7 linked regions of the Ovis aries genome follow. The protein of the gene in region 1 interacts with the protein of each later gene in a biochemical or structural test. Links are inferred from orthologs where the notes say so. Each region holds a gene or a part of one and is shown in the gene's direction. Other genes may lie near its edges.

Region 1 (3,500 bases):
GGAACTATGATGTAAGAACCACTCCCAGCTGCGTAGTGAAGGACTGGAGAAAAGGAAACTCAGTAACTGCTCAAAATGATACCACAATTTGAGAGACCTGGAATAGCCTCAACTCAGGGGAGTTTCATTCAGCAGAGGGACTCAGGGAGGGTTGCTGAGCCAGAGATGGGGCCATGTCTTGGGATATGCTTTGGACTCCAGGACTGGATGCCATGGAAGGGTCTGAAACAATGTTATATGTTGAGGCTGTTGGAATTGAGCCTCCAGTGGGAGTCTCCCAAGCTCCCATTTAAGGAGCTGACTTTCTTCTCCAGGTGTAAGGGACCAGAGCTACAAGACTGTTTAGGCCAACTGCTGCCACTAATCAGGTATGGTGGGCTTAGAGGTATAGGGACCTGGGGATATTTGGGGAAGCACAGTTACTTCCTGCAAAGAGTTGAGTGTATTCATTCTGGCCTTCTATATATAGGCTACTATCATGGGACTCAGGGACACAAGAATCCACGTTTCTGGCCTTCCCTTCCTAAAATTAACTTGCAGTGGTCTTGGGGTGGAGATTGAGGTTAACCCCTTCATTGCTCAAGGATATATGCAGATGTGCAGGTTAACTTCTTGCCCAAGATCTGTTCTATACATTTAGTACAGGTATAAATGACATTTGTACAGGGAGCGTAGACCCAGGATAATTCTGGGCTTCTCTGTTCTGCAGCAAAACCCACCTGGCAATGGCCTTAACAGTGGTAGTCGGGTTGGCAGTGACTTTCCTGATCCTGGGCAGCACTTTTCTCTATTGGCGTGGACGCCAGATTCAGAATAAGAGGGCTATGAGGCGCTACCTGGAACGGGGTGAGGTGAGTGTCTATCTTACCCTGGAAACGTGCCCTATACCATCATCACCCTTGGAGAGCCTCTTCCTTCCCCAGAGCCTTGATCCCTTTCTTCAAGGAGGCAGTATGGTCCCCCGGAAAGGACTCTGCCCAGAGAAATGGGAAACTCCTGATTTTGCCATTAATTTGCCATGTGACTTTGAAGAAGTTACCTTCCTTCTCTGCCTGTTTATGCACATATACAGAGGAAACAATAACATTCATCCTTACAAGATGGCTGTAAGGGTAAAAGGGGATTTGTGAAAATGCTTTGAAAAACAGAAAATGTATAAAAGTACTCAAGGCATGGCTTGAGCTCCTTCGCTGGTCACCTGACACTATCACAACATTGTTGATTGGCTGTACTCCAATATAAAATAAAAAATTCAAAGTCTGAAAAATTAATCAACGTGATAGTATTACCAACCCTCTCCCCTACCCCCCTATCAAAGGGAAAACCTAACCCTCTTGATTCCTGATCTCATGAACACAACTTCCTCAGTCCTCAAGGTCTGTTATGCTCCAATAGGCCTGAAATGTTTTCTAAGACTAGAGACATTTCTCCTCCTGTTCCCACCCCTTCAGGCTTTGCTGCTCTTGGCAGGCACCTGTGGCGAGGGGCCTGGAGATGGACATGGGAGTGGGCTTTCCTGAGTACCTCCTTCCCATCTGTTCTGCAGAGTGTAGAGCCTCTGGATCCCAGTGAAAAGGCTAACAAAGTCTTGGCCCGAGTCTTCAAAGAAACAGAGCTGAGGAAGCTTAAAGTGCTGGGCTCCGGCATCTTTGGAACTGTGCACAAAGTGAGTGGCCCACAAGAAGATTGGGGAGGTGGGGAAAGGATCTAGGGCAAGGAGAGAGATCAGGGAAAGATCTTTTCATTCCATACCTTTTAATAGTGTTCTAGGTCAGACTTCAAAAACTAGCAAACTCAGAAAAAAAGAGATCAGATTGGAGAGATTGGAGGTTACCAGAAGTAGAGGTGGGATAGAAAAGAAAGAAAGTGAAGTCGCTCAGTCATGTCCAAATCTTTGCTACCCCATGGAGTACAGCCCATCAGGCTCCTCTGTCCATGGGGTTTTTCAGGCAAGAATACTGGAGTGGGTTGCCATTTCCTTCATCCAGGGGATCTTCCCAACCCAGGAATCAAACCCAGCTCTCCTGCATTGCAGGCAGATGCTTTAACCTCTGAGCTACCAGGGAAGCTCAGGTTCTCCATTGGGGTAGGAGGAGGAGGAATTGGATGAAGGCAGTCAAAATGTATAGACTTACAGTTATAAGATAAATATGTACTAAGTGATGTGCATGCATGCTAAGTTGCTTCAGTTGTGTCTGACTCTTTGCGACCCCGTGGACTGTAGCCTGCCAGGTTCCTCTGTCCATGGCATTTTCCAGGCAAGAATGCTGGAGCGGGTTGCCATGCCCTGCTCCAGGGGATCTTCCTGACTCAGGGACTGAAAATGCATCTCCTGCAGTTCCTATATTACAGGCGAATTCTTTACTGCTGAGCCACCCGGGAAGCCCACTAAGTGATGTAAAATGTGATAAATGTAATTAACGCTGCTGTATGCTATATATGAAAGTAGTTAAGAAAGTAAATCCTCCTAAAAGTTAAGATTTCTCATCATAAGAAAAAAACTTCTATTTCTTTAATTTTGTTTCTCTCTCAGATGATGGATATTCACTAAACTTATTGTGGTAATCTTTTCATGATACATGTAAGTCAAGTCATTATGCTGTACATCTTAAACATATACAGTGGTATATGTCAATTATACCTCAATAAAACTAGAAAAAGAAAAAAAAAAGATCCAGGGAAAGGAGTAGCCTGGGAAGAATGACCTTAGGCTGACTCCTGCCCAAAACTTCCCAGGGCGTGTGGATTCCTGAGGGTGAATCAATCAAGATTCCAGTCTGCATTAAAGTCATTGAGGACAAGAGTGGACGGCAAAGTTTTCAAGCTGTGACAGACGTAAGTGAAGGCAAGGTGTTCGGTGTGCCACTAGGAGAGGATAGCTATTAGATACAATTATGTAGAAACACGGTCTTGTGTTAGCAGGTACTATATTAGCCACAGAGATGTCCCTGAATGTTGGGGGAGCCCTGGTCTGGTTTTATGTGAACCTGTCTGTTCCCAGGATGACCTTTCTTGTTGTGTCTTTTAGCACATGCTGGCCATCGGCAGCCTCGACCATGCCCACATTGTACGGCTGCTGGGACTGTCTCCAGGGTCATCTCTGCAGCTCGTCACTCAGTACTTGCCTCTGGGCTCCCTGCTGGATCACGTGAGACAACACCGTGGGGCGCTGGGGCCACAGCTGCTGCTCAACTGGGGAGTACAAATTGCCAAAGTGAGTGCGAGGAGCCTGGAGGAGTTTTAAGACAGAACTGCCTACAGGCCTGCAGGGAGGGGCCCAGGGGCTTGGAAGTGTTGAGAGGTGCCTGAGGGTTTGAGGTGATTCTGGGACTCAATTGAGAACCAATTTCTCCAACTTTAAGAAAACTTCCTTCCCTACAGGGAATGTACTACCTTGAGGAACATGGCATGGTGCATAGGAACCTGGCTGCCCGAAATGTGCTACTAAAATCACCTAGCCAGGTTCAGGTGGCAGATTTTGGGGTTGCTGACTTGCTGCC
Region 2 (3,166 bases), about 30 Mb from region 1:
ATGCACTATCCATGGACCACGGCTCATCTTCTCCAAGGACCAGTTGGATGAGGCCTGGGCCGGTGAGTTGGAGACAAGTGGCCTGGGGGCTGGAGCCCGGGTGAAGGCAGGCAGGTGGGTAAGGGCAGGGAGGGGGTCACCTGCTCCTCACTGTCCACTCCCCACAGACGAGAGGTTCCCCTTCCAAGCCTCGGTGGAGTTCGTCTTCTCCTCCAGCCCAGAGAAGATCAAAGGTAAGAGCCAAGCCTGGCAGGGGGCAGGGGGCAGGGGTTGTCTCCCTGCTCCTCACCCCCGGGGCGCCCTTCTATAGGTAGCACCCCACGGAATGAGCCCTCCGTCTCTGTCGACTACAACACTGCAGAGCCCGCAGTGCGCTGGGACTCCTACGAGAACTTCAACCTGCACCATGAGGACAGTGCGGATGGTGTGTGGGGTGCCCCCAGAGGGGGAGGGAGGTGGAGCTTCCTGTGGGGGGACATGCTTCCCTCCCTAGACAGACACCCTCCCAAGAGACACCCCCGAGCTGGAGTCTCCGGCACCATCCCCTGTTAACACACGCGCTTTGTCTGTTTCTCTCTCTCTCTCTCTCCCCCCGCCACTGTGGCCTGCTTGCTATACCGCCCGGATCCTCTCCCCACTCAGACTCTGTCACCCACACCCGGGGGCCCCTGGATGGCAGTCCTTATGCCCAGGTGCAGCGAGCCCCCCGCCAGACCCCACCGGCCCCATCTCCGGAGCCACCCCCACCCCCGCTGCTTTCTGTCAGCAGCGACTCTGGCCATTCCTCCACGCTGACCACGGAGCCGGCCGCCGAGTCCCCTGGCCGGCCACCTCCGACGGCTGCCGAGCGGCAGGAGCTCGAGCGCCTGCTGGGAGGCTGTGGAGTGGCCAGTGGGGGCCGGGGAGCTGGGCGCGAGACGGCCATCCTTGATGATGAAGACCAGCCCGCTGCGGGCGGAGGCCCCCACCTCGGAATATATTCAGGACACAGGCCTGGCCTCAGCCGCCACTGCTCCTGCCGCCAGGGCTACCGGGAACCCTGCGGGGTCCCCAATGGAGGCTACTACCGGCCAGAGGGGACCCTGGAGAGGCGGCGGCTGGCTTTCGGAGCCTATGAGGGGGCCCCCCAGGGCTATGCTGAGCCCTCCGTGGAGAAGAGGCGCCTCTGCCGCTCGCTGTCCGAGGGGCCGTACCCCTACCCGCCTGAGCTGGGGAAACCCACCAATGGAGACTTTGGCTACCGCCCCCCAGGCTACCGGGAGGTGGTGATCCTGGAAGACCCAGGGCTGCCTGCACTGTGCTCGTGCCCTGCCTGTGAGGAGAAGCTAGCACTGCCCACGGCAGCCCTCTATGGGCTGCGGCTGGAGAGGGAGGCTGGGGAGGGCTGGGCGAGTGAGGCTGGTAAGCCCCTCCTGCACCCGGTGCGACCCGGGCACCCGCTGCCCCTGCTGGTGCCTGCCTGCGGGCACCACCATACCCCGCTGCCTGACTACAGCTGCTTGAAGCCACCGAAGGCAGGCGAGGAAGGGCATGAGGGCTGCTCCTATGCCTTGTGCCCCGAGGGCAGGTATGGGCACCCAGGGTACCCTGCCCTGGTGACGTACGGCTATGGAGGCGCAGTTCCCAGCTGCTGCCCAGCATACGGCCGGGTGCCGCACAGCTGTGGGTCTCCAGGTGAGGGTAGAGGGTATCCCAGCCCTCGTGCCCACTCCCCCCGGGCTGGCTCCATCTCCCCTGGCAGCCCGCCCTACCCCCAGTCCAGGAAGCTGAGCTATGAGATCCCTGCAGAGGAAGGAGGGGACCGGTATCCGCTGCCTGGGCACCTGGCCCCAGCAGGACCCTTGGCATCTCCAGGTGAGGCCCTGGGAAGGGGGATGCCCAGGGCAGAAGAGGGTTCTGGGGAATGGTGGGGAAAGCACAGACTGAGGAAGAGCTACAACCCCTTCTCTCCCTGCAGAGTCGCCGGAGCCTGTGTCCTGGAGGGAGAGTCCCAGCGGGCACAGCACCCTGCCCCGGTCCCCGCGAGATGCCCAGTGCAGCACCGCTTCCGAGCTGTCTGGTCCTTCCACACCGCTGCACACCAGCAGCCCCGTCCAGGGCAAGGAGAGGTGCTTCGTGGGGCTGGGCAGCTCAGGGGCCTCCTTATCTGGGTAGACACTGAAGCCTGTGTTGGCAGGCACCTCACACAGGGCTCTGCAACCCAACTAAACTGCCCGCCCTCCCTCCCTGCAGCACCCGACGGCAGGACACCCGGTCCCCCACCTTGGCGCCCACTCAGAGACTGAGTCCCGCGGAGGCCTTGCCGCCTGTTTCCCAGGGAGGCGCTGATAAGGCTCCAGAGCTGCCTGCGGGAAGTGGGCCTGAGCCTCCAGCCCCTGGCGCCTTCTCCTCAGCCTCCCCACCCAGCTCTCCCAACGACTGGCCTCAGGAGAGGAGCCTGGGGGGCCGCTTGGACAGCACCAGTCCAAGGGGGCCTGTACCCAACACCCTGCCCGGCCTCCGTCATGCCCCTTGGCAGGGCCTGCGAGATCCCCCAGACAGCCCGGATGGGTCCCCCCTCACCCCTGTGCCTACTCAGATGCCCTGGCTTGTGGCCAGCCCAGAACCCCCTCAGAGCTCGCCCACACCTGCCTTTCCTCTGGCTGCATCTTACGACATCAACGGCCCCCCCCAACCCCCCCTTCCTGAGAAACGCCATCTGCTGGGGCCTGGGCAGCAGCCGGGACCCTGGGGCCCGGAGCAGGCATCACCACCAGCCAGAGGCGCTAGTCACCATGTCACTTTTGCACCTCTGCTCCCGGATAATGCCCCCCAACCCCCAGGTATAAAGGCCTTCAGGAGGCTGGGGCCACCTTAGGAGAACCCTGGTTTCCAGGGAGGGGCATGGCATGGGGACTGGGGAGCCCTGGGGTAAAGCTTAGTCCCTCCCTGTTCTAGAGCCCCCGATGCAAGAGAGCCAGAGCAATGTCAAGTTTGTCCAGGACACATCCAAGTTCTGGTACAAGCCACACCTGTCCCGTGACCAAGGTGAGAAGCCAGCCTGCCCCTACTCCCTCCGGGCCTCTGGCTCAGCTTCTGGTTTGTGCCACTTCATCAGTGGGCCTCCTCTGGGCCGAGCCTCTTTCTAGCAGATGATTCTGGGTTTTAGGCCCGAGGAGGTCTCACC
Region 3 (3,500 bases), on another chromosome or scaffold:
ACTGATGTGAGTTTGAGCTGTTTGGCACATGAGAGAGCGCTTACTCTTTTCAAAACAGTATGGTAAAAAAAACAAAACAAAACAAAACAAAAAAGACAGTATGGTAATGGAAATTAAAAACAGTATTACATCAAGAGTTTAAAGATGAACTAGATTTGAAGGTGAAAAATGAAGGAAACAGCTGTATAAGTTAACTTATCAGTATACAGATATGCACATATACATCCAATACATTGTGTGGAATTTTATAAATTAAACCATTTATGAAAATTATAATAATCTCTACCAGAAAGTTTAAAGAGTAAAACTTTAGGCTTCTGAGACTGATATTGGTCATTAATGTATGTTAATATAAATAGATCAGTCAGTCATTTAGCACTTTGCAGGTTAGAAAGACCAACCGTATAAGAATGGCTATGTTAGAGTGGAACTGTCTTGCTTTATAAATGGTAGAGAGTAGATTTATGTCCGTTCTTCTGTTGAACAGTAAATTTATAGTTAGGGTGTGCAGGCTGAGTTGCTCTGTGGCCTGTGGGATCTCAGTTCCCCGACCAGGGATTGAACCTGCTTTGCCTGCCCTGCAAGGTAGGTTCTTAAGTGTTGGACCACCAGGGAAGTCCTTGAATAGTAAATTTAGATTGAATTGTTTCTTCCACTTTTTCTCTCTTTATGATATGCATAGTAGGGGAAAAGCATAGGCTTTAGAGCAAGCAAATCTGGTTTGCTGGGTAACTCCATCATTTATTCACATTGTGACCTTACTTAAGCCTCAGTTTCCCATCCCATTTTATTGGCAGCATTCAGTGAGATAATTTCAATAAAAGATAATGGCTGGTAAAAAGTAGGAAACAGTAAATTATTAATTTTCTTTGCACCACCCTATAAGACGTATTTTTTTCTTCATGAAACCAAATAGAATCAGGTAAGTGATGATATAAGGGCCACTCAGCAGAATCTACTTCTGGTTGTCTTCCCAACAGAAGTGAGTGCATGTGTGTTCAGCAGACATGTACAGGAATGTTCATAGCAGCGTTACGTGTAGTAGCCAGAAACTAGAAACACTCAGCTGTCTGACAGCAGTGGACTGAATTAATACATTGTGGTATATTTGTAAAAAGGAATCTTACACAAAGTGAACGCAGCTCTACTACACACGTTACTAGCAAAAACCATGACCCACTGGCTGCCTACTCTTGCAGATAAAATTGTACTGGAATGCAGATGCACCCATTTGTGTATGTGTTGTCTATGGCTGCTTTCTCAGTATTATGGCAGACTTGAGTAACGACAGAAATGCTGTGGCCACAAACCTAAAATGCTTAGTATCCGGCCCTCTAGAACAGTCATAGATGAATCTCTTACACATAAAGTTGAGTAGAAGGGATTAGTGATTACTGAGGAAGGGGATGAGGGGAGTGGGAATGACCTCTAATGGGTCTGGGGTTTCTTTGTAGGGTGATGAAAATGTCCTGAAATTAGATAGTGGTAATGGTTGGACAATCAATGCATTTATTAAAAGTCACTGTATTGCACAATTGAAATTGTGAATTTTGTGGTGAAATATATGAATTATATCACAGTAAAAAAAGTTGGGTGACAGAAAACAGGCACAAAACAATGCTTATTGTGTGGTTCCGTTTGCATAGGTACAGTTCACAATCTAAGCTAATCTAAGGCGTTAGAAGTCAGCAGAGTGGTTACCTTTGCGGGGTCAGTAGCTCGGAGGGCAGGAGGGAGGCTGCTGGGTGCTGGTAATACTGTGATTCTCTTGGGTGGGAGATGTTTATCATGGGTGAGTTCACTTTACAGGACTCGTCTGTTCTCCATTTATTAATTATATGCTCTTCTGTATACTCTAGAATCTCTTTTTTAAGAAAATAAACAAGCTCCCTTGGAAGATAAGGCTTAGAGACTGCTATCCTACTTCATCCTTCTTCTTGCTTATCACATATTAACTACTGTTTTGTTTACTTTCTGAGATAAAATTGTGGCTCTTTTTAAAAAATTGCTTGGGCACTCAAAAGTGCCTCTTAATGAAATAAAAATCATAAGATATTTGAATATCCTCTCTCTACCAAAAAAATTAAAATCAGTGGTTTTCAAATTATGTTCTGTGTAAGATTCTGAGGTGGGAGTTCATAAACTTTTACAGGAAGCCAGTCCCCTCTTACCTACTTTAATCAGCGCTTCTCTTCCTTTATCTTCCATATTTGGGCTCCTTAGTCATTTAGCTTAAAAATATTTGAAGACCAGTGATCTTGATGATCCTGAGATATAGAAGCTTTTCCCCTCAAGACTCGAGCTACTTTAGGAATCGTAAGAAGAGTAGTTTAAATGAGATTAAAGTGAAGTTCTCTGCCCACCCCCACCCCTGCAACATCATGGTTAAATTCTTCCCTAATTCTTCCACTTATCTCAGTAAGATAATGCCTTATTTTCATCTTTTTTTAAATCAGCATTTTAAAAATTGAAGTATAGTTGGTTTACAGTGTTGTGTTAATGTGTGCCATATAGCACAGTGATTCAGTTATATGTATATCTGTGTTCTTTTTATATTATTTTCTATTGTGATTTATCATGGAATATTGAATATAGTAGGACCTTGTTGTTTATCCACTCTGTATATGATATTTTTCACCTGCTGTCCCCAGCGCCCATTCTTTCCCTTCCCCGACTCCCTCCCTCTTGGCAACCACCAGTCTGTTCGCTCTGTTTGTGATTTTGTTTCATTGTGTCGTATTTTAGATTCCACATATAAGTGAAATCACAGGGTGTTTGTCTTTTTCTGACTGTCTTCATTTCTAGTTGCTTTCATGTCACTGTGAATGGCCTTATTTTGTTCCTTTTTATGGCTGAGTAATATTCCATTGCCATACACAACACCACATCTTCCTTATCCACTCATCTGCCGATGGACGTTTAGGTTGTCTCCATGTTTTGGCTGTTGTGACTAGTGCTGCTTATTTTCATATCTTGAGAGCAGTGAGATAATGACCCCTTTTCAGTTGGTTTATTTTTCTCCGCTCTGCTCACCAGGTATATGTAACTGCCGAGAGCCGCTTCAGCACCTTGGCCGAGCTTGTTCACCATCACTCCACGGTGGCTGATGGGCTGGTGACAACCCTGCACTATCCGGCCCCCAAGTGTAATAAGCCTACAGTCTACGGTGTGTCCCCCATCCATGATAAGTGGGAGATGGAACGAACAGATATTACCATGAAGCACAAACTTGGGGGTGGTCAGTATGGAGAGGTTTACGTTGGCGTCTGGAAGAAATACAGCCTTACAGTTGCTGTGAAAACGTTGAAGGTGGGTTGCTGAGAATTACAGTTTTCAGGCATCTTTTTCTTTTGTGCTGAATCACTTGGAAATACCAGCGTGCCCTTCTTTAACTTTGGAACACTTTCCACCCACTGGTGCCAAGCACATCAGCAAATTCTGATGATTAACCCTGGTGCCATTGCTGACAGTGCAGGGGCAGATTATTCACTGCAATGCAG
Region 4 (3,985 bases), on another chromosome or scaffold:
GCCTGGTGGGCTACAGTCCACAGGGTTGCAAAGAATTGGACACAACTGAAGCGACTTAGCATACATGCATGGGAAGCTAAGATCCCAGATGCCTTGCAGCCAAAAAACCAAAGCATAAAACAGAAGCAATATTATAAAAACTTCCATAAAGACTAAAAATGGTCTACATCAAAAACAATCTAAAAAGAAAAAGAAAAGTATGTTACACACTCAAAAGAAAAAATGTAGAAGAGCATTCAGCTTCAAACATTAAACAAGGTCTCGTTCTAGTGAAAAATGAGGAAGTTTGGGGGAAATATTACTTAACAGCACATCTTGAAATACAAGAGAGAAGGAAACAAAGGTTGAAAGGTTCTAAAAAATTTGATAGCTTAGCATCAATTGAACAAAAACCATATTCTCTACTAACTACAGATGATAAAAGATACAACGCAATTATCAACACTCACAATGGACTTAAGTTTGATGTCCCAAATGCTAAAAGGTAGGCCCTGTATGTCAAAAGGCACAGACAAGTCCGCATGAAGGCAAAACACCAATGAAATGATTTATTCTCTCATCTAAGGCCCATCAAATAGATACATCTGGAACATCTTTGGACACAGACTGATTTTTGTACCTCAACCAGCACTTTGGGATCTTGGACAAGAAGCCTGGAAATGTTTGATTTGTTCAGGATCAAGATTGCTGGAGATGACTAGGAGGAGTCAAAGAGAAGGGGGAGGGTTTGGGGAGGGGAGGCAGTGGATCCCAAGTCCGCTGTTCACTTCTTGCCTCTGATTCCCTAGGAGCCTCCTGCCTGTGCTCAGTGGGGATCACCCACTGACAATACTGATGACCTCTGTGTTTTGGTCTCAGAGCTTTTGGGCCTTTCATTCTCTGTCAGTATGTTTCTGCCCCACATGAAGATCAACACGGCTTCCCTGTCTCATTAACCCCTTTGGGGACTATTTAAGCTAAGTCAGGGTGGCCTTCCTGGGAAAACTACAAGGACAGAAACATTACCAGGCATTCGTGTCTGCATGCATTGGGAGCACAGGCCACATCCTGCAAGGACCTTCTTCCAATAGTCCTCCCCTCTCTGTCCATCCATCCACCCCAACCCTTTTGTGGCAGAGGCGGAGCAGAGAGGGGAGGGGGGAATTGAACCCTAGGGCAGTAGCCAAGCTGCTAAACTGCTGACCTGGTTTTCACTGAAGTGCGAGAAGGAGGCTGTGAGGCAGGTAGACAACATCCTGTTGTTGGGGCGCTCCTTTCTCTTTTTTGAACATCTGGCTGAACAGGGAGGCAGGTGGCTGAGTCGTGCCTGGTTGCGGCGGCAGCAGCAACAGCGGCCTTTCCCTGCTACTGTCCCCTGGCCATGGACGCGGTGGCTGTGTATCATGGCAAGATCAGCCGGGAGACGGGGGAGAAGCTCCTGCTCGCCACGGGCCTGGATGGCAGCTATCTGCTGAGGGACAGCGAGAGTGTTCCCGGCGTGTACTGTCTGTGTGTGCTGTGAGTACATGACGGGGCCCTGGAGCCCCCACTGCCCACCGTGCGGCTCACGTCCCTCACTGGGGTTGTCTCGCCTGGGCTTCCTGCTCTTCAGAGGGTCTTCTCCAGCGCCTTTGGGGGCGGCTGTAGGAATGCTCTTTGCAGTGGAGGAAAAGGAGCCTAGAATTTACCTTTGCTGCCAAAAGGACTCAGGCTCCTGGCTTCAGGTTGGACCTCTGGTAGAGGCCAGCAAGGTGGAGGCCTGGGATGAGGGAATGGCCAGATATAGGGCCACCAGCTCCTCAGAGGAGAGGCCTTTCTCTCCAGCCCTCTGGCAATGGCTTTGAAGGTATCTTCCCAAAGGAAGATTTCAAATTCAAGGAGAGGAAGAAGACTAAGAAATGGAATCCTTTAAGACAGCAATACCAGTTAGGTCAGGATGTGGGAGAGAGGGACGTTTCTGAATAAAACCACCTCTCTGGATTTGCTTAATTAGCTTTCTTTACAGGAGTTGGAGGGGGGTGGGGTGGGGTTTCAGAAATAGGGCCTTTCCGTGATAAACGCTGGGAGAGACAATAGTCGTAAAGGACATGGAGGGAAAGCACCCTGGTATGATTCAGCTTTGCCCTTTACCTAAGCATCTCTTGGTCTAAAGCCCCATTTTGAATCAGATGCACCTTCATCTTTGCTCCAGGGCTCCAGGGTCAGGCAGAGCTAAGACCTAATCTTGTGCTAGTCTGATGCTGGCTTTGGCAAGTTAACCTCACAGTCCCTCAGTTTTCTTGTCCAAAAAGTGTAATATTACTACCTACCTCATAGGACTGAGCATTAAATGCTGTAATGCACGTAGAAAATTTAGCACTGGACCTGATGCATACTAAGTGTTCAGTAAAAGTAAGCTGTTGTTGTTATTATTTTTTCACTCTCTTTCAGTACTTTTTATTATAATATATTATATATATATATAAAATGTATATATATTTCAGTCAATATCTTTAAGTACTCACGGGGTGTTTCTAAGGAAGTCCCTAGCTCAATCACTCTTTGTTAGCAGGGTAAAAACACTCATGAAAGCAGCAGCCCTGTACAGTAGCTTCTAGACAGAAACAAAATGAGGGAAAATGCTTGGTTGTAATTTTGGTGTCTGATGATACATGGCAAGATTTTGAAGTTCCTTTAGGTCATTGATGAGAGATTGTATTGAGCCTGGTGTTAGAGGATTTTCATTGTTTATTGTATTATTTTTAAATGGGCAAGGCATATTTGTGGCAACTCTCAGGCCATGCTAAAAACGTTTGTTATAAAAGCTACAAGGGATATATGTGCAAGCTAGTGAATCCCTTGGGCTCAGATTTTAGGTTTTCCTTATATTATTGTTTCTCGAAAGTGAAAACTGGGGTAGGTCAGTGAAAGCCAACTCGTATTCCTAGGCTCTTTTCTTATCAATAGAAGGTGGAGGAGTGAGTGAACTGGTGAGAGGAGCTTCTTTAGGAAAGCTCACCAAAGGAGGTAATGGGACCCTCAACCTAGAGGTAAAAATTAAGGTACAAAAGGCCTGGGAAGGGAAGGAAGAGCCGGGGACAGTGTGTGGCAGGATGTTCCTAAGACTTCAGACGCACTGGCCTCTTTGTTGTTTCTCGAGCTTGCCAAGCTGCTCCTTGCTTAGGATCTTCACACTTAACTGTTCCTTCTCCCTCTTCTCTCAGAGAGGACTTCCTTGACTAGCCTCTAAAATAAGTCCCTTCTCCCTGTCCCAGTTATAATCTGTCACTTTAGTTTTCTTCTGGGAGCTTTCAGCTGTCTGACGTTTGCTTGTCTACTTTTGTCTTGCTGGGCTCTCCTGCTACAATGTAATCTCTCTGGGGCAGAGACACCATCTCCCGCACCAGGAACACAGCCTGGCATGCAACAGGTATCATGAGGCATGCAACAGGCACTCAATAAATGTTTCTGAATTAATGAATGAACTGTCAAGGCAAATTCTTTATGGCAGTAGGCTTTTGGGCTGATATCAGGAGGCCAGGATGTGGCCTCTGGGACATCACTCAACTTTTGTAGGTCTTGGTTTCCATATTTCTAAAACAAGAATAATAATGTGTGCTCTATCTTCTGCAGAAGATTATAGTTGGTAAAAGATGCAAGAGAGAAGGATAATCTTAGCCTATTACTCAAATTGGCCAGGGCCACGTAAGGAATTAACTTAGACAGATGGGAAATTCGCAGATTAAGTTTTTGTCCAAAGTGAATCTTGCCTAAATGCAGTTTTTATGACTGTAGGTTCTCCATGCAAACCTTTTTATGAAGTAGCAGAAAATAGTCGGCAAATTGGGAGTCCCCCTAACATATCTTTCAGTGGGCACACTGGGCCTCCAAGTCCTAGAGGCTAATGGCCAGACTGCTGCAGAGGGAAGACACAATGATACAGTGCCTTTTATGACAGTTTCTCAGCTTTTTTTTGAGCCAAGGATCCCTTCTGATAAACGTAAACATTTCATTTCCTCTTTTTTAG
Region 5 (3,500 bases), on another chromosome or scaffold:
GATTCCACATGTAAGCGATATCATTTGGTACTTGTCTTTCCCTTCCTGACTCTCTTCACTCAGTATGATAATCTCTGGGTTCATCCATGTTGCTGCAAATGGCATTGTTTTATTCTACTTCATGGCTAATATTCCACTATCATGTCTGTGGTGGCTCAGCGGTAAAGGATCCACCTGTAATGCAGGAGACACAGGTTTGATCCCTGGGTTGGGAAAATCCCCTGGAGAAGGAAATAACTTCCCACTCCAGTATTCGTGCCTGAGAAATCCGATGGGCAGAGGAGCCTGGTGGGCTACAGTCCATGGGGTCGCAAAAGAGTCAGACACGACTTAATGACTAAACAGCAACAACAATATTTCATTGTATGTAAGTCCTGCAACTTCTTGATCCATTCATCTCTTGATGGACATTGAGGTTGTTTCTGTGTCTTGGCTATTGCGAACAATGCTGCAAAGAACATTGTCTCTCTCCGTTTTATTCTACACTATCCTCTCCCACCTCTCTTGTTCAGATCTTCCGTGCAGTGCCACAGTGCCTCCGTTTCACAGCTGCAGTGTCTGCCATGTAGGCGCCCCACCATCCCTCGTCAGTGGTCACTTAAGCTGTCCCCAGTCTCATGCTGCCTTGAGTCTCCTTGGGTATATGCCATTTCTTCCTGTGCAGAATCCATGGGATAACTTCCTGGGGGTGGGATTGCCAGGAGGACAGCTCTTACTGTGTACCCTTAACATTGCTTGAACATTTTACCATGGCTTGACTCACTTTACCAAATGAAAGCAAGGAAGGCAGGGGTGTGGCAGGGTGATTAGGACCTTTGGCTCTGGAGTTAGACTGCCTGACTTTGAATCCTGCCTACACCACTTACTAGCTGTGTGATGCCAGGCAAGTTACTTGCTCTTTCTGTTTCTTGATTTCCTCATCTGTAAAATGGGGATAATAAAGGCAATGATTCCATAGAGGTGTTGGGTGGATAATAAGAGCTTGATAAATGGTAACTGCCTGTTTCCCCAGTTGATAGCAGAGGAAACAGAAGTCCAGAGAGGGAAAGCAATGTGCTCTAAGTCACACATAGATTTGCGGCAGGGTCAAGGCCAGTTGACCTCTGGCCTGGGGCTTTTTCCATCACAGTGCATGAACTACTCCTCAGGGAATAAGTTTGGTTTTTGCTGCTTAAAGTTATCCTTAGATTTTTGAGGGGGATCTAAAGATCCCAAATAGTCAAGGAGGATGAAGAAAGGTCCAGGGATGTGGTGCCAAGTATAAAGTTATTTGAAATCTCACATTTGAGCTTAGAAATTCATGCTGATGTCATATTCAACTCTGTATCTACAGAGGAAGATGAACTGTGATGGTAACAAAGCTCAGCCCTCACTCACATGGGCCTCTAAGATCCTGAGAGGTTGATCAAACTAGAGAAGTCTGCAAAAGGAAGATTTTTGACCACAGTTGGTTAAGACTGCTGTATTTTCCCACCCAGTCTTTTTGCTCATCACCTTATCCCTCATGTTGGGTGGTACTGGAATAACCAGCAACATTTTGTATTAGTATTTATAATGCTGTATTATTTTTCTTAAAGAAATCTCCCCAAATTGCAAGTTTCAGCCCCAGCGAACTGGATTCACTTGTGGTAAAATGTCAATATCAAAGGAATGACTGCTTTCCCCCCAAAGAATCTTTGAGTAAAACTGACACCAGAGGAATCCAGGCCCTTGGAATCCTGATGCCAGGCGAGAATGCTGATAGTCAGACAGGACTGCCCACTGCGGGCTTACTGCCCCCTCCCTTCCCTCCAGGTGGTTCTTCAAGGGCATCAGCCGAAAAGATGCAGAGCGCCAACTCCTGGCCCCTGGCAACGTGCTGGGCTCCTTCATGATCCGGGACAGCGAGACCACCAAAGGTGAGGCCAGTCCTCCTAGCCCTGTGTTTCCACCCCACCACACAGGGGAGCCCCAGACATGACTGGACACCATCCTTCCCTGGAGTATGCCATTGTCTTAGCAACTCACCCAGCCCCCGTCCCCGGCTTGCCAGGCTTCCTTCTGCTCTTTGTTCAAACCTTCTCAGCCCCCAGACCTGCCAACTTAGGTCAGTGAAAGTAAGATGCAGTGGTTACTGCCCTGAAGAACAACAACCTGCTGAACTTGATCTTCATTAGCTTGGATTCTTTTATATACCCATCAAAATATATCTTGTCCACAAGCCTGACTCCTCTCTCCTTCCATAAGGAAATGAGATGGGCTCAGGCTGTAGGAAGAGACCTCAAGCAATCTTGTCTGGGACCTGTTTCAAATAACCCCTTTGAGGTATTTGGATATTTTGATGTTGGTGACCTGCTTCCTGAAACTTCTGTGCTGTGAGGGTGGCTTTGTGCCTGGTCATTGCGTAGGAGGCAAGAGTAGTGCCCCAAAACAACAAATAACTCAAACTGGCATCAACTAAGGCCAGTTTTGCCAAAGGGATGATTGTAAGTAGGAGTCCTTTGATTTCAGATTTCACACACAGTGTGTGCCTTTACTGCTGTGTTTAGATTCAAAACTCCTTGGTTCAGAGAAATCAGTAAATTGTATAAGGTATGATCTCACAGTACCCTGGACAATCAGTTCAGGGGCCTTCTACTTGCCCCCTGATTTCTGACCTGGGGAAGCCTGAATGCGGCTAAAAGCAGCACTCACAATCTGTGTTTCGGGTCAGGGAATGTTTTGGCTTTATTTCCTCCCACCCAACAAACTCCCTACCAGCCCCCAGAGGAAAAGAAATGGTACAAAAAGATAGAGCCGTACACAGCCCTCGGCTTCTCTTCTCCCTCTGGGCCATCCTGCACACAAGGGCAGGAAGGTGAGCCTGGCCACTCCCACAGCCCTCAGAGTGGGCATAGGTGGGTTCATGGAGTTAATAAACTTGTAGTACAAGTGCCCTGAGTCCCATCCTGCTGCTTCCTGGGTTCTGCCCTTCCCCATTCAGCATCAGCCAAGTCAGCCTCCCCTTGACTGGGCAGAGTGATTAACAGTGTGGTCCCAGCTACCTGGGTTTGAAGCCCAGCTCTGCTACTTACAGGCTGTGTGACTTCAGGTTAGGTACTTCATCTCCCTGGACCTCAGTCTCCTTACGTACAACATTGTGGTGATATAAAACCTCTACCTGTGGGGTTAATCATTCACTGTAATGAACAATATAGCTTATTATAATGCATATAACTATAGTCCATTATAATGAATATTATTCCTATCCATTCATTGTTATTATTTATTATTCCTATTCATTCATTGTCAAGAGCTGACTCATTTGAAAAGATCCTGATGCTGGGAAAGATTGAGGGCAGGAGGTGAAGGGGGTGACAGAGGATGAGATAGTTGGTTGGCATCATCAACTCAATGGACATGAGTTTGAGCAAACTCCAGGAGATAGTGAAGGACAGGGAAGCCTGGCAGGCTGCAGTCCATGGGGTTACAAAGAGATGGACATGACTGAGCAACCAAATAACAGGCATTAAAGAATCCGC
Region 6 (3,500 bases), on another chromosome or scaffold:
TAATATTAAAACCTGCATTACTTACAGGAAAAAAAAAAAAAAACCAGCCTGCCCTAAAATGGCATTTTTGTTTCTGTTAACCGACAACATAGGGTACTGCAAACTGCGCGATGCCCTGTGTGAACAGTGATGTCTGGTTATCCCCATCCTAAATTCTTTGTCCTTCTCTTGTGTCTTCAGGATACCGGATGTCAGCCCCTCAGCACTGCCCAGAGGACATATTTAAAATCATGATGAAGTGCTGGGATTATAAACCCGAAAACCGCCCCAAGTTCAGCGAACTTCAGAAAGAGCTCGCGGCCATCAAGAAGAAGATCACGTAGTGACGGAGCCGCGTGGACGTGGCCTCTCCTCCCGCAGAGTAATACTGTTCTCCTTGTTAACCATGAGTGTATACCGTGTTGTGTGCAACCGTCTTCTAAGGTTACTTTTTTATTAACTGTTTTTTAAAATATGTGCTGTTTAAGAAAAAAAAAAAGGCATTGAAGCAGCAGTCCTTGCACGGGCGTGCCTAGCTCAGCCCCGCGGGAGCAGACAGGCACGGGCTCTCGCGTGCGGGGAGCCCGCCTGTCTTGCCCGCACCGGGAGCTCTGGCGCTCTGCAGGGCCGCTTTCCTTCAGGCCCGGCTCCCCGCTGCCGCCCCGGCCGCGGACTCCGCTCCGTCCGTCCGTGCGCCGCCCGGCACGCCGTGTCTGCGAGGCATGTCCCGACCAAAGTCAGCTTTCTGCGCCGCCAGGGCGGGAGCGTGTTGGTAAATATCACTTCACACTGAGAACTGTTCAGACCTCCCAGGGGATTTTTCTCCTTTCTCGCCAGAAATAAGCATAAGAACCCTCCCATTTCTGTCCTCCCAGTCAGGCTGTGGTTTTCCTCCTTTTTGTCGGAGATGGTGGCTGGAGTCCCCTCACAGAGCTGGCAGTTGAGGCCGCGGCTTTTAGAGGCCGTTTTGGACGGCTGTGACCTGTGGCAGAGTCACGCCTGCACACACACAGACACACGTGCACACACACAGACACACACACGTTATGATCTGAATTCATGAACAAGGTTCTGAGAAATGTTTCCAGGAGCTGTTAGGTACAGCCCTCTCGGCGACCAGAAATTGTTTAGGGAAGCTCCAATGCACAAGTCCCCAAAAGTCAGAGTGTGCTTTGAAGCGCCTTCATTTGAGAGGAGACATCTGGGATTCAGTTCCGTTCACCCGCGCCGCTGTCCAGGGCGGTCCGAACTGAATGGCCCTAGTCCATAAGCATTCCTGTGCGTGCACCCGGGCATGTGTGCACGCTCCCCCCCCCCCCCCCCACCACCACCACCACACACACAGACAATACCAGGAAGTCAGGCAGCTGGGAGCGGAGTGGACGGCTCCGCAGTCAGAGGAGCATTATCGAGGAGGAAGCTGTAGAGGCGCCTGCTTTGTCCGCTCCCTGTTCACTTGCTCTCACGGCGCTACCTGGGAACTCTTACCGTTGGCGGACAGCTGTGAGCGCAGCGTGGAGATGTGTCACGGGGAAAACGCTGCCGGGTTTAAACTAGGATTCTCTTCGGCTGACTCTTAGCTGCATCCAGGGAACTTACCCCATGTTCTGTATATAGTTGCCTCAGGAAACACGTGTGTGTAAGAGACGGTCACGCTCAGGGGTAAATGTGGCCTGGGAGCTTTTAGTGCGTGCTCCGGCCTGTGTCCAGACGCACAGCAGCGATCCTTTGGTCTGCCATTCAGTGCAGGCGTTTATGGGATGGAAATGCCTCCCGCCCCATCCACCCGCTTCCTCCTGGGAATATCACTGCGCAGGGAATAATGGTGAAGAGAAAAGGGGCTGTGTGTGTGTGAGTCTCATACGTTTCATGATTACCACATTCGGACTCAAATGAAAGCATAATAAACTTGCCCTCAAAAATAATGCAATACACAAGGCAACTTCTTTTAAAAGCAGCTTTGTTTCCCTTCTGTCAAATATGATGAGTAAGTGAAACCTTTTGATGGCATAAACTGCAGTAGATCATAGCACAGACTCAAGATTAAGAGCTCTACTCTACACTCACTTGCCAGCTTTCAAAAGCAGGAATAAAACAGGGACATTTCCGCCCTTTGCCAATGCTTCCAAGTGCACTTCTGTAGCATCCTTTATTAAAAACAAAAACAGCCTCCCATCACTTAGCAGCCCCAAAGCTTAGCTCTCAGCAAAGAGAGAGAATGAAGGTTTGGGCTTTAATTTTGAGAACAAGACCTGAAGCTTAATCTTTGCATTCTGGTGGAAAGAACGAACACGGCTTTGATATTTCACTCATCCAGGCCATTAGAATTTACAATTCACATCATATCTCTATGCTTAAATTAAAGAAGCTTTTCATAACGTCGTGACATCCGCAGCATTTAAATTCTATCTTATTCTGTATCCCAAAGCAGGCTGTGGTATAGTTCAGGATTAATAACTTCTTTCAGGGTCATATCAGTTGTATAGAATATTCACTTTAATAATAGGCACATGCATTATGAAAACCTTACGCAGACCACTTTTTTACCATTAATTTTGTTGTGCTTAAAGCATGATTTATTCATCCCTTCTGTCACTGATAATTATTGGGATTATGTACTTTAGGAGGCTAATCCATACCCAGAAAGCTCACATGCAAATACTCCTCTGAATTTGAAAGTTGATGTAGGGAAAGAGGGCTTCAGAAACATACAAAATAGACTTGTTTAGTAAGGAAACAGTGGTAACCAAAACTGCCGCTGGTCTGAATGTAATTCAGCCAGGCCACATCTGTGTTGTGAGTGGGTTTTCATTCTCTTGCATCTCTTCTCCTGTTCCGTTTCTGCCATCATTCCTTAAATTTATGACTACAGAGTAGGGGGCAGGTGAGCCCAGGCAGCTGGACCCTCACCTGCATTTTTCTGTCTTGAGTCACCAAGGAACCTGTATGAGAAATAGACAGGTCGGTCATCATTTTTCAAGGAAAGAAATCTTTTACTGTCAGGTAGGCATTTATTATCAACACAAGAAACCTAAAATTATTTTGTGTTCCATGTAACCTAAGGTTACTTCCCAAAGCCAATATTCTCTTTCTCTTCCAGGAAATAATAATAAAGGGTATGAATAGGCTTAGTTTAGATGCTCAAACCCGGAGGTTTCATTTCAGTCCATCCTGTCACTGGGTCCCAAGTGACAGATCTCATGTAAACATTTCTCTTTTATCTCCCAAATTTAAGTCAATATAGTTCTTCATCCATAATCCACCGTTTTATCACAAATACTGTATTATTGAAGCCTCTCACTAGCATTATCAGTGTAGAACATGAGTCTAAGTGTTTCAGCCAGTTTTCATATTTCACAACTTTTTTCATTTGAGGGTCGTTTTTAAAAGAATGTTCGGTCACCGAAACAGTCTTCATTTCCTTTAAACACAGGCCGATTTTCTTGTGTCTGTTCACCTCGTGTTTCAGCTGTGCCGCGTGGTCTCACATGAAGTTTGGCCAATACCACTGAGATAGCTAC
Region 7 (2,858 bases), on another chromosome or scaffold:
TATGACCACAACATCCCTTATAAGTGGACTGCCCCAGAGGCACTCTCCCGAGGGCATTACTCCATCAAGTCTGACGTCTGGTCCTTCGGGGTTCTCCTCCATGAGATTTTCAGCAGGGGTCAGACGCCCTATCCAGGTACTGGGCCCCAGCATTGCAGACTGTCATTAGGGCAGTAGGGGGCTGCCTCCTTGTCACACCACCCTGCACCACTCACTGGGTATCTTCCAGGGCCACCAGCCAAAAGAGGGCGGTAGGAGTGCCAGGTGTGCAGAGGGTACTGGCCTCCTGCCTCCAGAGCCTCTTTGTACCATCCACCGTAGGCATGTCCAACCAGGAGGCCTTCCTGAGGGTGGAGAGCGGCTACCGCATGCCCCGCCCCCCAGAGTGCCCGCCCACCACACACAAGCTGATGCTCTCCTGCTGGCACAAGGACCCTGAGCAGAGACCCTACTTCAAAGGGCTGTGGGAGAAGCTCTCCAGCTTAACAAGGTACGAGAACCCGCTCTGAGCTCACAGCCTCCCTACAGATGCCCAGAGGCCAGGCCAGCCCTCATGAGTGAGGCAAGGCCTGAGGGACCTCAGATCATGGCTGTGGGCCACCCTGATTCACTGAGGATTTGCTGAAGGTATGGACCACTCCCAGAACCAGCTGGACACTCCTGGGAAGGGGCTCTGGCAGGCCTGGGCCTACGCCTTCCCCAATGCAGCCTGGAGCTGGGACTGTCCCTTTCCCCGACGCCAGCACCTGCAAAATGCCAGGCACCCCACAGCCAACGTCTGCTCTGGAGGCTCCAGGAGCCAGATCACCCCTTTCCTCAAAATGGACCTGTCCCTGGTCCTGACTTGAAGCCCACCAACTAGCAGGACCAGGGTCAAGCCTCCCTGGCCGTGTGGTGGGGACCTAGGCTTTGGCTGCACCCCCTCTGGCCCCTGGCCCTGCCTGAGCCTCAGACTTGAGGGGGCATGATTTCCCAGTCCTCTGCAGAGATAGGCACGGACACCTGCTCCCCGGGGCCAGTGCTGTTCCTGTCCACCTGCCCTGGCAACACCTGCCCTGGGGTGTCGGGGTCTCATCTGGACAATGTGGCCAGGACTGGGTGGGGGTCATGCTAATCCTTGAGGTGGACCCCCCACTCAGCCTTAGCACTGACCACCAGCCTTCCCTGCGACCACAGGAGAGCCTGTCCCCCAAGCCTGCAAACTGCCTGGACACACAGAGGACAGGCAGGACAGATGGTGTAGGCTTTAGGGGCTTTTAGCCACCCAAATGCCTCGGGATGGACTCATGTGACTTAGAATGGAGTTGGGGAGGGGTGGCCAGAGGAGGATGGGCCCCTCCAGCAGAGTCCGGCCCTTGAAGCAGGGGAGGCCACCCCTCTAAGCCTCTGACTTCACACCAAAGCTCTGTCCACTGCCTCACTGAACTGCCCTCTCCTGACCCCACACCCCAGTCAAACTCTGCTGGCCCTGAATGTGGACACCACCAGCCCACCCCCCTCAGGCCTATCCCAGGAGGCTGGCAGAGGATGAGGACCCCTCTCCCGCAACACCACACAGTCCTGGAGTCAGACTCTGCCCAAAGCTGGGATTCCCTGGTGAGAGGGACCCACAGGAGCCTCCCACACTTGCTTCCTGTCTGCCTCAGTGGGGTGCCAGGGGCCTCAGATCCACTCTGGGGATTGGGGGCCCTGTCCAGAGTGTGTCCTACAAGAGAAAAGGGGAGGTAACACCCATAACAGAAGACATGTGGGAGAAAAGTTTGAGGACTGCCTCCTCAAGGTCCTCCAGGGGGCACCGGCATCCCTCTGACCCCAAGGTAGAGACCCCACCGGCCTCCTATAGCAGCAGCAGGAGGGGCCAGGGGTGGAATCACATAGAGGGCTCTGACCTCGGCAGCTGCCTTGGAAGCTTCTGCTCCAATTCTTGGACTGCCTGCTCTCCCTGATTTCCCAAAATAGCCAGGCACCCCACCCCTTCTCAGATGCAAGGCTCCACACTCACTGGAGCTGTCTGCCCACATGAACCTGGGCCAGATCTCAGAGGACACCCCCTAGGAGGGGTTCCAGGAAGGCCCAAGGAGCATGGCCAGCTCTCTCACACCTGGGAATGAGAAGGTTGAGGGTTAGTGACCTCTCCCTCGGGGGTGGGGGAGCACACGGCTCTCTCTCTCTCTCTCTCACACACACACACCAGGCTGCTCACTCCTGGAGTTTATTGTCCACTTGGTGCAAGGCACAGGGTCATGGGGTGTGAGGAAGGCGCGTTCGTGTGGCTCGGATAGCAGAGAGTGGTATTCTCTCAACTTCCTTTTTGGTGTTTTGCTGTTTTGATATTAAAAACCAAACTGCTTCCCCTGACTGCAGCCTGCTTGGTCTTGGGGAAAGGAGGGGAAGGGAGGGTACAGGGGAGGGGGAGGAAGAGGGCTCTGATGAGCCTAGCGCCTTGGAAGGAAGCCTGGCAGCTGGTGGTGGTGACTCAGGACGGGGGCCTGCAGTTGGTTTTGCCAGGCTGGCCGCTGGGCTGCTGCTTCCCCACAGCTTCCCGAGCCAGGTCACAGGTGATCGTGCTGGTGGAGGCCTGGGCAGACTCCGAGCTGGGGGAGAGCAGGAAGTCAGAAGCTGTTTCCACTTGTCCCCGCCCCTCCCCCCACACTGGTCCCCAGAAAGGCACACTCACTGCTCTGGAGACTCCAGCACTGTGGCCATGAACGGGAGAGTGGACTTCCCGAAGAAGAAGCTAGCCCACCAGTGTCCGGGGTCTGCTTTGGGGAGACCTAAGAGGAGCAAGGCAAAGTCAGGGTGCTGCTGTCACTCCCTGGGCACAGACCTGGGAACAGAGGAGTCACTGCACTCACCTG

The links.
Region 2: the proteins of ERBB3 (region 1) and TNS2 form a complex in vitro, tested with the Homo sapiens proteins (2 studies listed by BioGRID and IntAct, with this or other methods). The link is inferred for Ovis aries from reciprocal best matches to the Homo sapiens genes ERBB3 and TNS2.
Region 3: the proteins of ERBB3 (region 1) and ABL2 form a complex in vitro, tested with the Homo sapiens proteins (2 studies listed by BioGRID and IntAct, with this or other methods). The link is inferred for Ovis aries from reciprocal best matches to the Homo sapiens genes ERBB3 and ABL2.
Region 4: the proteins of ERBB3 (region 1) and SH2D1A form a complex in vitro, tested with the Homo sapiens proteins (2 studies listed by BioGRID and IntAct, with this or other methods). The link is inferred for Ovis aries from reciprocal best matches to the Homo sapiens genes ERBB3 and SH2D1A.
Region 5: the proteins of ERBB3 (region 1) and HCK form a complex in vitro, tested with the Homo sapiens proteins (2 studies listed by BioGRID and IntAct, with this or other methods). The link is inferred for Ovis aries from reciprocal best matches to the Homo sapiens genes ERBB3 and HCK.
Region 6: the proteins of ERBB3 (region 1) and FER form a complex in vitro, tested with the Homo sapiens proteins (2 studies listed by BioGRID and IntAct, with this or other methods). The link is inferred for Ovis aries from reciprocal best matches to the Homo sapiens genes ERBB3 and FER.
Region 7: the proteins of ERBB3 (region 1) and PTK6 form a complex in vitro, tested with the Homo sapiens proteins (2 studies listed by BioGRID and IntAct, with this or other methods). The link is inferred for Ovis aries from reciprocal best matches to the Homo sapiens genes ERBB3 and PTK6.

The regions. Positions count from the first base shown.
Region 1 is NC_056056.1:163,438,690-163,442,189, reverse strand, and holds part of ERBB3 (receptor tyrosine-protein kinase erbB-3), read left to right. Parts: intron 1-314; coding exon 315-368; intron 369-709; coding exon 710-851; intron 852-1,546; coding exon 1,547-1,666; intron 1,667-2,736; coding exon 2,737-2,835; intron 2,836-3,028; coding exon 3,029-3,214; intron 3,215-3,381; coding exon 3,382-3,500. UniProt on the Homo sapiens protein: Tyrosine-protein kinase that plays an essential role as cell surface receptor for neuregulins.
Region 2 is NC_056056.1:133,381,162-133,384,327, reverse strand, and holds part of TNS2 (tensin-2), read left to right. Parts: coding exon 1-62; intron 63-167; coding exon 168-233; intron 234-310; coding exon 311-424; intron 425-642; coding exon 643-1,854; intron 1,855-1,957; coding exon 1,958-2,108; intron 2,109-2,232; coding exon 2,233-2,822; intron 2,823-2,937; coding exon 2,938-3,027; intron 3,028-3,166. UniProt on the Homo sapiens protein: Tyrosine-protein phosphatase which regulates cell motility, proliferation and muscle-response to insulin. Phosphatase activity is mediated by binding to phosphatidylinositol-3,4,5-triphosphate (PtdIns(3,4,5)P3) via the SH2 domain.
Region 3 is NC_056065.1:59,883,531-59,887,030, reverse strand, and holds part of ABL2 (tyrosine-protein kinase ABL2), read left to right. Parts: intron 1-3,036; coding exon 3,037-3,309; intron 3,310-3,500. UniProt on the Homo sapiens protein: Non-receptor tyrosine-protein kinase that plays an ABL1-overlapping role in key processes linked to cell growth and survival such as cytoskeleton remodeling in response to extracellular stimuli, cell motility and adhesion and receptor endocytosis.
Region 4 is NC_056080.1:108,291,315-108,295,299, forward strand, and holds the start of SH2D1A (SH2 domain-containing protein 1A), read left to right. Parts: upstream 1-1,185; 5' UTR 1,186-1,360; coding exon 1,361-1,497; intron 1,498-3,985.
Region 5 is NC_056066.1:61,253,584-61,257,083, forward strand, and holds part of HCK (tyrosine-protein kinase HCK), read left to right. Parts: intron 1-1,794; coding exon 1,795-1,898; intron 1,899-3,500. UniProt on the Homo sapiens protein: Non-receptor tyrosine-protein kinase found in hematopoietic cells that transmits signals from cell surface receptors and plays an important role in the regulation of innate immune responses, including neutrophil, monocyte, macrophage and mast cell functions, phagocytosis, cell survival and proliferation, cell adhesion and migration.
Region 6 is NC_056058.1:105,761,793-105,765,292, forward strand, and holds part of FER (tyrosine-protein kinase Fer), read left to right. Parts: intron 1-180; coding exon 181-323; 3' UTR 324-3,500. UniProt on the Homo sapiens protein: Tyrosine-protein kinase that acts downstream of cell surface receptors for growth factors and plays a role in the regulation of the actin cytoskeleton, microtubule assembly, lamellipodia formation, cell adhesion, cell migration and chemotaxis.
Region 7 is NC_056066.1:53,836,427-53,839,284, forward strand, and holds the end of PTK6 (protein-tyrosine kinase 6), read left to right. Parts: coding exon 1-136; coding exon of another isoform or gene 137-169; exon of another isoform or gene 170-315; intron 316-321; coding exon 322-509; 3' UTR 510-2,241; downstream 2,242-2,858. UniProt on the Homo sapiens protein: Non-receptor tyrosine-protein kinase implicated in the regulation of a variety of signaling pathways that control the differentiation and maintenance of normal epithelia, as well as tumor growth.